Sus scrofa: one gene and its partners. The protein of the gene in region 3 binds, or shares a complex with, the protein of the main gene of each other region. Links are inferred from orthologs where the notes say so. Each region holds a gene or a part of one and is shown on either strand. Other genes may lie near its edges.

Evidence for each region. Proteins that work in one complex are often made in the same cells at the same time.
Region 1: MAP3K20 (region 3) and MAPK14 share a complex: the UniProt entries of both Homo sapiens proteins name them as parts of the signaling complex. The link is inferred for Sus scrofa from reciprocal best matches to the Homo sapiens genes MAP3K20 and MAPK14.
Region 2: MAP3K20 (region 3) and PKN1 share a complex: the UniProt entries of both Homo sapiens proteins name them as parts of the signaling complex. The link is inferred for Sus scrofa from reciprocal best matches to the Homo sapiens genes MAP3K20 and PKN1.
Region 4: MAP3K20 (region 3) and MAP2K3 share a complex: the UniProt entries of both Homo sapiens proteins name them as parts of the signaling complex. The link is inferred for Sus scrofa from reciprocal best matches to the Homo sapiens genes MAP3K20 and MAP2K3.

The regions. Positions count from the first base shown.
Region 1 is NC_010449.5:31,857,398-31,859,720, reverse strand, and holds part of MAPK14 (mitogen-activated protein kinase 14), read right to left. Parts: intron 1,532-2,323; coding exon 1,358-1,531; intron 1,160-1,357; exon of another isoform or gene 1,078-1,159; intron 536-1,077; coding exon 468-535; 3' UTR 1-467. UniProt on the Homo sapiens protein: Serine/threonine kinase which acts as an essential component of the MAP kinase signal transduction pathway.
Region 2 is NC_010444.4:64,814,684-64,818,183, forward strand, and holds part of PKN1 (serine/threonine-protein kinase N1), read right to left. Parts: coding exon 3,428-3,500; intron 2,230-3,427; coding exon 2,094-2,229; intron 1-2,093. UniProt on the Homo sapiens protein: PKC-related serine/threonine-protein kinase involved in various processes such as regulation of the intermediate filaments of the actin cytoskeleton, cell migration, tumor cell invasion and transcription regulation.
Region 3 is NC_010457.5:79,366,513-79,370,012, reverse strand, and holds part of MAP3K20 (mitogen-activated protein kinase kinase kinase MLT), read right to left. Parts: intron 1,877-3,500; coding exon 1,802-1,876; intron 932-1,801; coding exon 781-931; intron 1-780. UniProt on the Homo sapiens protein: Stress-activated component of a protein kinase signal transduction cascade that promotes programmed cell death in response to various stress, such as ribosomal stress, osmotic shock and ionizing radiation.
Region 4 is NC_010454.4:61,406,369-61,409,868, forward strand, and holds part of MAP2K3 (dual specificity mitogen-activated protein kinase kinase 3), read left to right. Parts: coding exon of another isoform or gene 1-39; 5' UTR 40-601; coding exon 602-1,066; coding exon of another isoform or gene 1,067-1,138; coding exon 1,139-1,258; intron 1,259-2,549; coding exon 2,550-2,666; intron 2,667-3,481; coding exon 3,482-3,500. UniProt on the Homo sapiens protein: Dual specificity kinase. Is activated by cytokines and environmental stress in vivo. Catalyzes the concomitant phosphorylation of a threonine and a tyrosine residue in the MAP kinase p38.

The DNA of each region.
Region 1 (2,323 bases), on a different chromosome or scaffold from region 3:
GGCTTCAGATGTGAAGCGAACAGACGGTGCGAGCCTTCTTCTGTGCCTCTGCGGGGTGTGGTCAAGCCAAACCCCTACCAACAAGGGTGGCCGCAGGAGAGGCCAAAATGGCAAAAGCATGACTGGGGGCTGGGATGTTTAACATTTTTTACTTTGCTTTTAAGAAGCCCTAACAAGATGGCAGCTCCTGCTGCCCAGCTGACTTTCACAAAGAACAAGCAGAGACTGCCACGGAGCAGGGGTCGCTCCACGTAAAGTCACTGTGATCATAGTTTGCTCATAATCTCTTACCCTCCCACAAAGTCAGACAGACAGACACACACACACACATGGGCACGCACACACCCCCCCTTCCACCACGGAGGAAATCTTTGCAACAAGAGGCACTTGAATGATATTCGGAGAGTTCCCATGAAAAGGCCTTCCCCTCACAGTGAAGTGGGATCAGCAGAACAGAAACCGGATTCTCAAGACTCCATCTCTTCTTGGTCGAGGGGTGGCGGCACAAAGCTGATGACTTCATCGTAGGTCAGGCCTAGAAATCAGGAAGGAAAAGGAGGACGTGAAAGTTCGGACTATTCATTTTGTTGGCAAGCACCCTAACTTCTAAGCTCAAGATCCTTCCTCCCTGTCCAGACTAGTGGTTCCATGGGCCACTTCAAATAACTGCCTCACCGTTTGTGTGTGATATCCTGATGGAACATGTGATTCCACAGAAGTTCAAGGATACATACAAGAGAAGCATCCTTTATTGCTTCTTTAATCATCCAGTGCCTCCTCTTTAAAACTCTCTGAAGATGCTTGAGAATAACGTAGTAATCCCATTTGCTGTAGCAACAGATAGTCCTGGCTTTTGAAATTTCACTGGAGTTTTCTGAATGTGTGTTTTATGGAGAGACTATGAAACTGAGCACAGGAGACCTGGGTTCTATTTCTGGCTGTGTCCCTAATTAGGTCTAAGGTAACAGTTAAGATGTTAACTTTCTTCACCCAAGTTCTATCAATTATAAAACTGTAAATGCACCCTATCCCCTACTTAGCTGGGAAAGATGGTATAAATGCAAAAATTCTGAGAACCTCAAAGTTCTATGCAGACGTGAGGGGCTGTGCACAAAATCAGACCAGACAGAAGCATCTCAAAGGTCCAGAGTGTCATCATCTACAACAGACAGTTTCCATCAGAGGAACATACTCATTCTGCATTAGAGACCTAACGACAAGGTTTAACAAGTTGGATTTAACCAGGAGTCCGCACCTCCACCCCCCACCCCCCTGCCCTCCCCCACTGACAGCTTTTGGTTTGTGGTTCACCTGGCAAAGATTTTTAAAGCTACGTGTTCATCATGCTCAGACTTACTTTTCCATTCATCTATAAGGAGGTCCCTGCTTTCAAAAGACTGATCGTAAGGATCAGCCACTGGTTCATCATCAGGATCATGGTACTGAGCAAAGTAGGCATGCGCAAGGGCTTGGGCTGCTGTAATTCTCTTATCTGAGTCCAAAACAAGCATCTTCTCCAGCAAGTCAACAGCTATCAGTGATGCAGATTGGAAGGAAAAAAGAGTTTTTAACACACTGCCAAAAATGTATGCTTTATTAAGCAAAACACAGTTTTGACCTTTTACACCAAAACAAAGAATTCTCCTTCAATTCTGGGATGTTACTCCTTTCCTCTTTTATTTTTTTTTTTTTTTTTTGGTCTTTTTAGGGACACACCTGCAACACATGGAAGTTCCCAGGCTAGGAGTTGAATGGGAACTGTAGCTGCCAGCCTAGGCCACAGCCACAGCAACGAGGGATCTGAGCTGGGTCTACAACCTACACCACAGCTCATGGCAACACTGGATCCTTAACCCACTGAGCAAGGCCAGGGATGGAACCTTGAACCTCGTGGATACTAGTTGGGTCCATTATCACTGAGCCACAACGAGAACTCCCCTTTCCTCTTTTATGTTTGTTTGTTTTTGTCTTTTTTGTCTTTTCTAGGGCTGCACCCACAGCACATAGAGATTCCCAGGCTAGGGGTCGAATCGGAGCTGTAGCCACTGGCCTACGCCAGAGCCATGGCAACTCGGGATCTGAGCCGCATCTGTGACTTATACCACAGCTCATCGCAATGCCCGATCCTTAACACACTGAGCAAGGTCAGGGATTGAACCCGTAACCTCATGGTTCCTAGTTGGATTCGTTAACCACGGAGCCATGACAAGAACTCCCCCTTTCCTCTTTTAAATATATGTGTGCACGTGCATGGATGGATGTTGTATTTTTTCTTTCTTTTCTTTTTTGGCTGCCCAGCAGCATGAGGAGTTCCTGGGCCAGG
Region 2 (3,500 bases), on a different chromosome or scaffold from region 3:
TTCATGGTTATTCAAAGCCTTCAAGACCAAAAGACTAGAAACAACCCCATTTCCTCCAGTAGGGGTCTGGATAAGTGAATGGTAACTACCCACATCATGAAATATAATGCAATTAGGGGAACAGGGACAACATCACACAGACATTGTTATGCTGTCACTCACAGGGTGACACTGGCATTATCACTTTCTCACCAGTGTAGGCACTGTTACACATACCCACAGGCAGATGAACACACACTCTCACAAAGATGCTATCACGCTGCTACACAGGGACACTGTCACAGGATTGAGGCTGATATTACATAGATATGTGCCTTGTCAACCTCAAGCAAAGGGACACGGTCACAAGGGCAGAGAAAAACAGTCACAAAACATAAACACCCTCATAGGACACAGTCACATGGTGGCAAAACTCCCAGGGTTCTAATTTCAACCCAAGGAGAATCACAGGAACACAACCACACTGCCATGTGGATCAGGCATAGGGACAGGTAAAGAAATGCTGCCACATTGTCACACAGGCAAGGTAGCATCAGCAATACTCATAGAAACAGAGACCCAGTCACAGGGAAACAGGCTGGCTACCATATTCAGGGCAAAGTCCTGGGGACACAGCCACAGTTATCCAATGGCACAGGGATAGACACTGTCACACAGGTATGGGAAACCTGTCACCTAGGGACATGAGGTCAAAGTCACCCTTATCCACGGCTGTAGATTCCAAGGACAGTCTCATTGTCCTGCATAATGACCCAGACTCAGACTCTGGCACTCAGAGAGTCACAGTCACCCACAGGTGTGTGGCACTCACCAGGACTGCTGTCACATGTGCCCAGTTACCAAGACTTTTATACTTGCAGGGACAAAAGCAAGCTGCCACCAAAGGTTACAGTGTCACCCAGAGGCACAGGGACATGATCATACCATCGCACACTGACACTGAGAAATTCACGTAGGCATTCAGAGTTCATACAAACAACCACACACACCTCCGCACTACAAAGACACATACATTGTCATCCGTGTTACAGGTCCAACTGCTATGGACTGCATGTTTCCCTGCAAACTTCATATGTTGAAACCCAACCTCCAGTGTGATGTCTTTGGAGGTGGTGACCTTGGTGCCCTTGGGAGATGACTAGGTCATGGGGACTTTGCCTGCATAAATGGGATCAGTGTCCTTATAAAAAGGGCCCCAGAGAGCTCCCCGGCCCTTTCCAAAGTGAAGACACAGTAAGAAGGCATCTGTCTGTGAATGTGGGAGAGGGCTCTCACCAGACACTGGATCTGCCAGCGCCTTGATCTTGGACTTCCCAGCCCTCAGAACTGTGAGAAATAAATGTCTGTTGTTTAAAAGCCCCCTCCCCTATCTGTGGTACTGTGGTATATTATAGCAGCCCAAATGCACTATCACTCACCAACAGTTGACACTTCTCTATTTCTCATGGTGACAGGCAAATTATCATAGTTACAGAGCATCCATACAACCCCTGGTCCCCATGGCTAATATCACATTAATACTGACACACATCAGTAGCCCATGCATACATCAAGACTCCGTCACAAATTCAGGCTGACAATCAGGTTGAGACCCCTCCCACCCCGAGAGATTCATACACTGAAACACTCACAGAAACACACACACTGAGGACACCACAGGGGCCAACATGACAAGGCAACCACCTAGTCCAGCGGTCTGCCCATCTTTTCCGTAAGAGTCACAGGGTAAATATTTTTGGCTTTGCAGACCACATAGTCTTTGTTGCCACTACTTGGCTCTGCTGTCAATGCCAAAGCAGCCTTAGGTGACAGTAAATGAATGGGTGTGGCTGGGTGCCAATAAAACTTTATTTACAAAAAGGCAGTAGCAGATCTGGCCCAAGAGCTTTGGTTTGCTAACACTTGATCAAGTGGAAACTTTGAGTGGGACAAAATGAGAAACTGAGGCCCAGAGAGGGTCAAGAATGGGTTCCAGTCACATGATGAGTCAGAGCACTCACCTCCCTGCCCCAGAAAGGAACCCCCTATGTGACTGGGAGCAGAACTCTACAAGATAGGATGCAGGCTAAGCTGTATCAGGGCAACGGACTCACCTTGGGCCTCATCCGGGGCCGCCTGGCTCTCCAGCTGGCAGGCCTGCAGTGCCCGGCGGAGCTGCATGCGGATGATGTCAATCTTGGTCTTACTGTCCTGCAGCATCTGTTGGGCCGTCAGCAGCAGCTTCCGGTCCTAGAGGCAGAGATGGGCCGTGAGAGGAAGGCTGGCCAGATGGGAGACTGACCAGCAGCTCTTCTGTCCACACCAGTGCAGGCCCTGAGTAACCCATGGCATTTGAATCCTGGCTCTGCTACCTAAGACTGCTATCTGTGTGACTTTGGGCAAGCCACTCAACCTCTCTGGGCCTGTTTCGTCATCTACAGGACTGGGATTGCTAATTGGATTGCAACCACCACTCGGCTGAGGATTAAAGGAGCTAATCTGTATGTAGGGCTCAGTGCTGTGCCTGGCACCAGCAGGCACTGTATTTGTGTCAGCTGTCAGAAAGGCATACGTGTGGCTCAGTGTTCCCCGTGGTGGGTGTAGCCCTGACAGGAGTCACGTAGGTGGGTCCAAGTTCCCTGACCAGGGAACTCCATATGCCTTGGGGTGGCCAAAAAAGAAAAAAAATATACTACACATCCCTTTGTTACACCTCAATAAAAGGTTTAAAAAAAAAAAAATCTGGCATGGTCTGTGCCCTCCCACGTAATATTCACCTTTGTGTGTGCACACAGGTATGGGTGCTCTCCCGGGTCTCTAGCTATAGGTCTGGCTGTGCTTGTGGGTGTATCTCTGGGTGTGGGTGCAGACCTGTGACTGTGTTCTTGGTGTTGGTATAGCTGGGGGGAATGACTGTGTGACAACTCTGCTCTCTGGGTGTGAATTTAATGGTGTGCGTGTCTGTGTGTCTAGACGTCTGTTGGCCTGTACTGTGTGTCCTGGGGTTATTATGATGGTATGTCTCTACGTGTCCAGAGAGCCCTGTGGTAGTCATCCTCCATGTGTCCAAGTGTTGTTACTGCTGTGTCTCTAGATGTTATAATGGTGTGTGTGACTCCAGGTGTTGACCTGCACGTGCACATGTCAGAGAGATGCCAGTAGCAGTGAGAGGCTGCATGTTGCCCTGTCCACAGAGGCTGCTGGGTCTCCAGGGCTAACTGCTGTGTGTCTGTCTGACATCACCCAGTCACTCTGTTTCCCACATACCACCATGAGCTGCCTGCACCCCAGTTCTGCCACTCAGTCATTCATCAGTCCCTCTGTTCCCAACCCAGAGGGCCCAAACCTCCCATGGGGGACATGTAGGTACCCCCCCAAACCCCCTCACTGTGTGATGTGCTCCAGGCGTATGTGCACACAGGGGTGTGTTCACTCGTGCTGCCCCCACCTTGGTGCTGCCGTTGCTGTACGTCTGGATCATGTTTTCCGCCCCCTGCTTCACCTTCAGCTCGATGGCCAGC
Region 3 (3,500 bases):
GCTGGAGAGGGTGTGGAGAAAAGGGAATCCCGCTGCACTGTTGGTGGGAATGTAAATTGGTACAACCACCATAGAAAACAGTATGGAGTTTCCTCAGAAAACTAAATATAGTAACTACCCTATGATGCAGCAATCCTACTTCTGGGCATATATCCAGACAAAACTTTCATTCAAAAATATACTGCATGTTGGAGTTTCCGTCGTGGCTCAGTTGTTAATGAATCCAACTAGGAACCATGAGGTTGTGGGTTCTATCCCTGACCTTGATCAGTGGGTTAAGGATCTGGCATTGCCGTGAGCTGTAGTGTAGGTCACAGACCCAGCTTGGATCCTGAGTTGCTGTGGCTCTGGTGTAGGCTGAAGGCTACAGCTCCGATTAGACTCCTAGCTTGGGAACCTCCATATGCTGCCTCCATATGCTCTGGGATGGACGCAGAGTTTGGGGTTAAAGGATGCAAACTGTTACATTAAAAATGGATAGGCAATGAGGTCCTGCTATACAGCACAGGAAACTATATCCAATCACTTGTGATGGAACACGATGAAAGATAATATGAGAAAGGGTGTGTATAGATGCACGACTGGGTTACTTTACAGCAGAAATTGACAGAACAGTGTAAATCAACTGTAATAAAAAATTTAAAGATAAAAATAAATAAATAAATAAAATCAGAAGGAAGTATTACATTAGAAATCTTGTTCACTTCATGGAGGGGCACTTATCCCTGGTGTGAGTCTGACATTTCCGTTTGGAATCTGTCTCGTGTGCAGCTAACTTACTTGAGTCAGACCTGCTTCTGGGGTTGCCCTCTGAGTTGGAGAATGACGTCTGAATGGCAAGCTGGACGGCTTTCACTTCATCCTGAGGTTTCGTTTTACTCCACTTAATTGAATGGACGTGTTTAGTGCTTTTTGGAGTTCTAACGTCGCTCTGTTAAAAAAGGGAGTAAGACACCCACAATCAAATACTCAGGTTTATAAAATAGAAAGGAATGAAAATCAGGTTATCAGATACCTTTACTGTAACTCCTTAGAACATTAGCATAATGCGGTAGGTAAAATTTTTGCACAGTTTGTCTCAATGTGGTAATTTGATTAAAAGAAAAATTTTGACCACTTTATTCCTTAGTGGACTATGTAGTTAAAAAGGCGGTTGTCTTTCCTAAGAATTTATTTGTTGGCAAATCTCAACTTACCTCTTCATTTAATAAGTAATGAAAAACAAGGTCATTTGCTTATAGTAGTTAAAAAAAAAAAAGATATGTTGTTGAATAAATGATAATGTGAGAAGAAAGAATCTATACATGTCTGTGTCACGGGGTCACCATGCTGTACAGTAGAAAACTGACAGAACACTGTAATCCAGCTATAACGAAAAAAATAAAAATCATTATATTAAAAAAAAAAATCTGACCACATTTTGCCTGTGACCATCCAGGTAACTGGGTGAGTAGGATTAGGCTGGCTACCCTCACCCTTAAACTCTAAGCACCAAGAAAGCAAAGCTCTGTTTTTGGTCATTGTTCTATATACCTGGTACCTCATACGTGCATACGTGGTATGCAGAAGGTGCTCAATCATTAACTGATGAATGCAAGAATGACTTCCTCTATCTCTAAGTAAGTGTATTTTGTTCTCATTCCTTCTCAACACTTTGCTAGAATAATTACATTGATCTTCCCATATTCATGCTGGTTAAATAGTTTCCCTTCCAATACATTTTAAGCACTCTGAGGGAGCAGATAAATCCCTGCTATGAAACTGATAGTGAAACCCATCAACCCTCCACCCTCAAGCTTACCTCGTATGTGACAGTGCATTCTACAGTCTGATTTTCCAGTATTCCTATAATCCACTTCTCCATCACAAACGGGGGCTGAAAAACAAAAGTTAGGTGTAGGTAGTGGCATAATACAGCCTGCTTTGCAAGATCGATGGTTTCGTTGAGGCTGGCTGGGCCACACACAATTGGCAGATAGGGCATGATGTCAGGTTATCATGAAAGCCATGATGTTGGATTGTTAGGAAAGTCATGTTCATTCACACATGTCTTTTGGTTTTCAAAAGACATCCTTTCCTATGTTTGTGAACAGCTAGTCTTGGTGTCCTATGATCTCCTCTTTTCCGATATATCACTCAATCTTATCTTTAGGTCATTCATTCATGCTAATATTTGTTTTTGTTCGTTTGTTTGTTTCTTTTTGCTTTTTAGGGCCGTACCTGCGGCATATGGAAGTTCCCAGGCTAGGGGTCGAATCGGAGCTACAGCTGCCGGCCTATGCCGAAGCCATGGCAATGCCAGATCTGAGCTGCATCTGAGATCTCACCAGAGCTCACGGCTACACCAGATCCCAATGAGCAAGGCCAGGGATTGAACCTGCAACCTCATGGTTCCTAATCAGATTCATTTCCGCTGTGCCAGGACGGGAACTCCCCTTTACGCTAAAATTTGGAAGCCTCAGCAGAGAGTTTACTCACAATTCAGAGAAAGCCTTAACAATATAAGGACCCCAGAGTGCCTGTTTTGAGTGCCAGTTGTGGCTGGTTTAGCAGCTTCATAACCTCTCTGCTTTCTAGCTATATCAGGCTATCTGGCCACACTGTGAGGACAAATAAAACAGGGGAGACATTTCCTCACTGTATTAAAATAAAGAAAAAATGAAGAAGCCTATGCCTTGGACTCTATTTATTTATTTTGGTCTTTTTTTTTTTTAAGGGCTAAACTCCCGGCATATGGAAGTTCCCAGGCTAGGAGTCTATTTGAAGCTGCAGCTGCTGGCCTACACCACAGTTCACGGCAATGCTGGATCCTTAACCCACTGAGTGAGGTCAGGGATTGAACCCACACTCCCATGGATACTATTTGGATTTGTTTCCGCTGTGCCACAACAGGAACTCCAATGGACTCTATTTTAAGTTTGATGAATATGGTCTTTATTAGAAATGAATCTCCAGAGTTCCCTGGTGTTGTTACCGCTGTGGCTTGGGTCACTGCTGTGGTGCAGCCAGAAATTTTGCATGCTGCAGACTCGGCCAAAAAAAAAAAAAAAAAAAAAGGGAATCTCCACTCTCTTCCCACCCTCTTAATCCTTCATTCCGGTTTAAAGGCTGCAAATGACTGATTGACCGTGAGATGAGATAGGTACAAAGTAAACAAAGTAGAGATTTAACTGGGGATTAAAAAAAAACAACAAGAGTAAAACAAGGAGAAGTTTATTAATGTGTATACCTCATGTATACCCTGGAGATACGCAGGGAAAAATGAGTTAATTCAAAGAATTCAGGATTAAATGCCATCTTAATGGACAAAGGGAAAGAGCAGTATATAAGCCTCTGAGGGGAGAGTGAATGATTTTTAGGAAAATGAATGGTCCCTTAGAGGAAAACATGGGAAGCAGGATAGCTTGTGACAAAGTTTGTGACCAAAGTCTGGGTGTGGAGTCAACTGCCAGTCTCTCCTGCAAGAAGAATCAATCTTCCTTGGTGGTGGTTGTTGTTCT
Region 4 (3,500 bases), on a different chromosome or scaffold from region 3:
AACCTGGACTCCCGGACCTTCATCACCATCGGAGACAGGGTGGGTGTGCCCAGCCCGCGGGGCCCTTGCTGCTCCCAGCTGACCCCTAGGGCCCCGGGAAGTGGCTGTGGGGGTGGACAGCACTCTCTCCCTGCTGTTGGCCGTGTGGCCCATCTGGAGCAGGGGGCGGAGGTGGCAAACCGGGGCTGCCATGGAGTCCCTGACCTCAGCGTGGGTGGTGTGGCCACCACGGTTCTGGCCCTTGGGGCCGGCGTCTGGGGTCGTGCATTTCAGTTGCACCCAAGAACCTCCTGAGGGCTTGGGGACCGTGTGTCGCCCCAGGACACGCCGAGGGTCTCTGGGCAGAGGCCTCACTCTGGAGCTTCTCCTCGACCAACACCCCCTCCCGCCTGGGTTCTGAGTCCCCCCACTTGTCGCTGTCAGTGTCCTGTTGGTTCACCTGCTCGCTGCCTTGCGCCTGCCTCTGGAAACAGGGCAAGAGACGGTGGGCGGCCCGGGCCACGCTGCTCCCTGGGAGGCGGGGCCTGTCTCTTGCCTCTTTTGTGTCCCCAGTGCCTCACCAGGGACTCGATGCAGTAGATGCTGAGTAAAAGCTGGCTGGATGCGTGGTCCGGTCTGGCTGCTGCAGCGGCGGGGGCCAGAGGGATGGGGCGGCTCGAGGGCCCCGCGCCTGCTGGGAGCATTTCCCGGGCAGCCCGCTTACCCTCCCAGCAGCCCTTGCTCGTTGGTGCTGTGCCTGTTCTGTGGAAGGCGAGGGGAGGCTCAGTGGGCGTGCAGGACTGGCCCCGGGGCACCCAGCAGGATGCGCTTGCTGCAGGATTGGAGCACAGATCAGCCGGGCTGGTGGCCTTCTCTTTCTGCTGCCCCAGCACCTCTGCTGGACGGTGTGTGGGGGGTGAGGGCTGGCACCTGTCTTGGCCCCCGTGGACCCTCTCTTTCTTCTGTCCCCAAGAACTTTGAGGTTGAGGCCGACGACCTGGTGACCATCTCGGAGCTGGGCCGGGGAGCCTACGGGGTGGTGGAGAAGGTGCGCCACGCCCAGAGCGGCACCATCATGGCCGTGAAGGTGAGCAGCCCCCGCCCCCCCTCCCCTGGGGGCCCCCCCGCCAGCCACCTGACGGCTGCCCTCGCCCCACAGCGCATCCGGGCCACCGTGAACTCGCAGGAGCAGAAGCGCCTGCTCATGGACTTGGACGTCAACATGCGCACAGTGGACTGTTTTTACACCGTCACCTTCTACGGGGCCCTGTTCAGAGAGGTGGGCTCTGCGGGGGCGGGGAAGGGCGGGGGGCGGGGCTGGGAAGGGCAGGTGTGTGAGGGGGGGCCTCTCTCCCGGCCCGATGGCGTGCAGGGCCGGCGGGGGCTGGGGACAGAGACCAGGAACCCACACTGGGCTCCTAGAGTCCAGGGGTGGAGGAAGGGCTCCCCTGCCTGGCCTTGCGCCCTTTGCTCCGGTGGGGTCCCCAGGCTTGCTGGGTGCCCTGGACCCAGGGGTGGGTCCCCGATTGGCTGAGCACCCGTGTCAGGCCCAGGTCCCATGCTGGGTTGGAGCTGGCGGGGGCCCAGGGCGGGCAGGTACCCCAGGCAGCCGGCGTCCTCCGAAGGCCGTCCCGAGGGCTGAGGCGTGGGGCAGTGCGTTGCAGGTGGAGGAGGGAGCCATCTGCCACGATGTCTCTGTGTCCCCAGTGCCTCAGCAGGGACTCGGTGCAGTAGATGCTGAATAAAGTCTGGCTGGATGCGAGGTCCAGTCTGGCCTCTGGGGTGAGCCCTGGGCGGGGGGCCCGGGGCTGAGGCAGGAAGGGTTGGCCAGGCGGGGTCGCAGAGCGGAGCTGGCACAGGAGGGTCCCAGAGCCCCTGCTGGAGGGACTCAGTCACGTGTGTGTTTTAGTCACTTTTCCCTGGAACCTGCCGTGTAATTAGGGAGGCAGGAGAGGCCAGATGGGGAGACCAGAGGTGATGGGGGGGGAAGGCTGCCCTGTAGACCCGGCAGTGGGAGGGGGCGGGGGCGGGGGGGGTTGGGGAGGCGGTGGGCCGGCCCGAGGGGTTTGGGAGGCAGCATAGGGGAGCTGGGAGGTCCGCGAACCCCAGTGTAGGGGAGCTGGGAGGTCCGCGAACCCCAGTGTAGGGGAGCTGGGAGGTCCGCGAACCCCAGTGTAGGGGAGCTGGGAGGTCCGCGAACCCCAGTGTAGGGGAGCTGGGAGGTCCGCGAACCCCAGTGTAGGGGAGCTGGGAGGTCCGCGAACCCCAGTGTAGGGGAGCTGGGAGGTCCGCGAACCCCAGTGTAGGGAGCTGGGAGGTCCGCGAACCCCAGTGTAGGGGAGCTGGGAGGTCCGCGAACCCCAGTGTAGGGGAGCTGGGAGGTCCGCGAACCCCAGTGTAGGGGAGCTGGGAGGTCCGCGAACCCCAGTGTAGGGGAGCTGGGAGGTCCGCGAACCCCAGTGTAGGGAGCTGGGAGGTCCGCGAACCCCTGAGGGCTGAGGGCCGCGGGTCTGTGGGGAGGCGCTGGCTCCGGGCGCGGGCGGGCGTGGCTGAGCCGGTGCCGCCTGCAGGGAGATGTGTGGATCTGCATGGAGCTCATGGACACGTCCCTGGACAAGTTTTACCGGAAGGTGCTGGAGAAAAACATGACGATTCCAGAGGACATTCTGGGGGAAATTGCTGTGTCTGTAAGTGGCTCAGGCCTGGAGGCGCTTGGGGGTTCTAGGGCCCAGAAGCCCAGGCCTGCTTCCGCAGCCACAGCCTGTCCTGATGTGGTGTCGTGGGCAGAGCTGGGCCCCTTCTGTGGCCCCCAGTTGTCCCCTGGCCAGGGTCTCTAGGCCTCTCTGGGCAGCTCGCAAGCCTCCGGGGTCCCAGACGAGGACTTAATGTTGACAACTTCTTGGTCCTAAAAACACTCAGAGGCGGCTCACGGGGCACAGGCTAGGCTGGGGGACATTTGGCGTCCATATGTTTGCCTTCTGAGCGTGCACGTCCCTAGAGCAGGGAGCAGTCCTGGGCCTGAGCAAGAAAGGGCATGGAGTCAGGGTACCAGTGGGTCTCGACCCTGACGGCACCTGCTGACATGTCCGGGTACCCCCGCCTGGGTGCTGAATCAGAATCTTTGGCCCAGTTCCTGTAGGGAACGGCTCCCAGTGTGCAGTCCACTGACTCTGCTGGGGGGCACGGGGGGAGGTGGCAGAGAGGCTGCAGAGCCTGATGGGGTAGGGGCAGCATTCTGGGCGTCACAGGTGTGGGCTCTGCAGGGGTCTTGGGCCACTCAGCAAAGCAGAAGGCTGGTGCCTCTGCACTGCGGTTACCAGGACGCCCGCCACAGCAGATGTGGGCGGGGTTGGGGGCGGGCGGGAGCTGGGGTGAGGAGGGCTGGGCTGGGTCCCTGGGGGTGGGTGACAGGGGCCGTGGGAGGGAGTTTCCCGCTCTGCCGTCACTGGCCAGCGGGAGTAACCGCCTCTCTCCTCCGCCTCCTTCCCGTTCTCAATGGCAGATCGTGAGGGCCCTGGAGC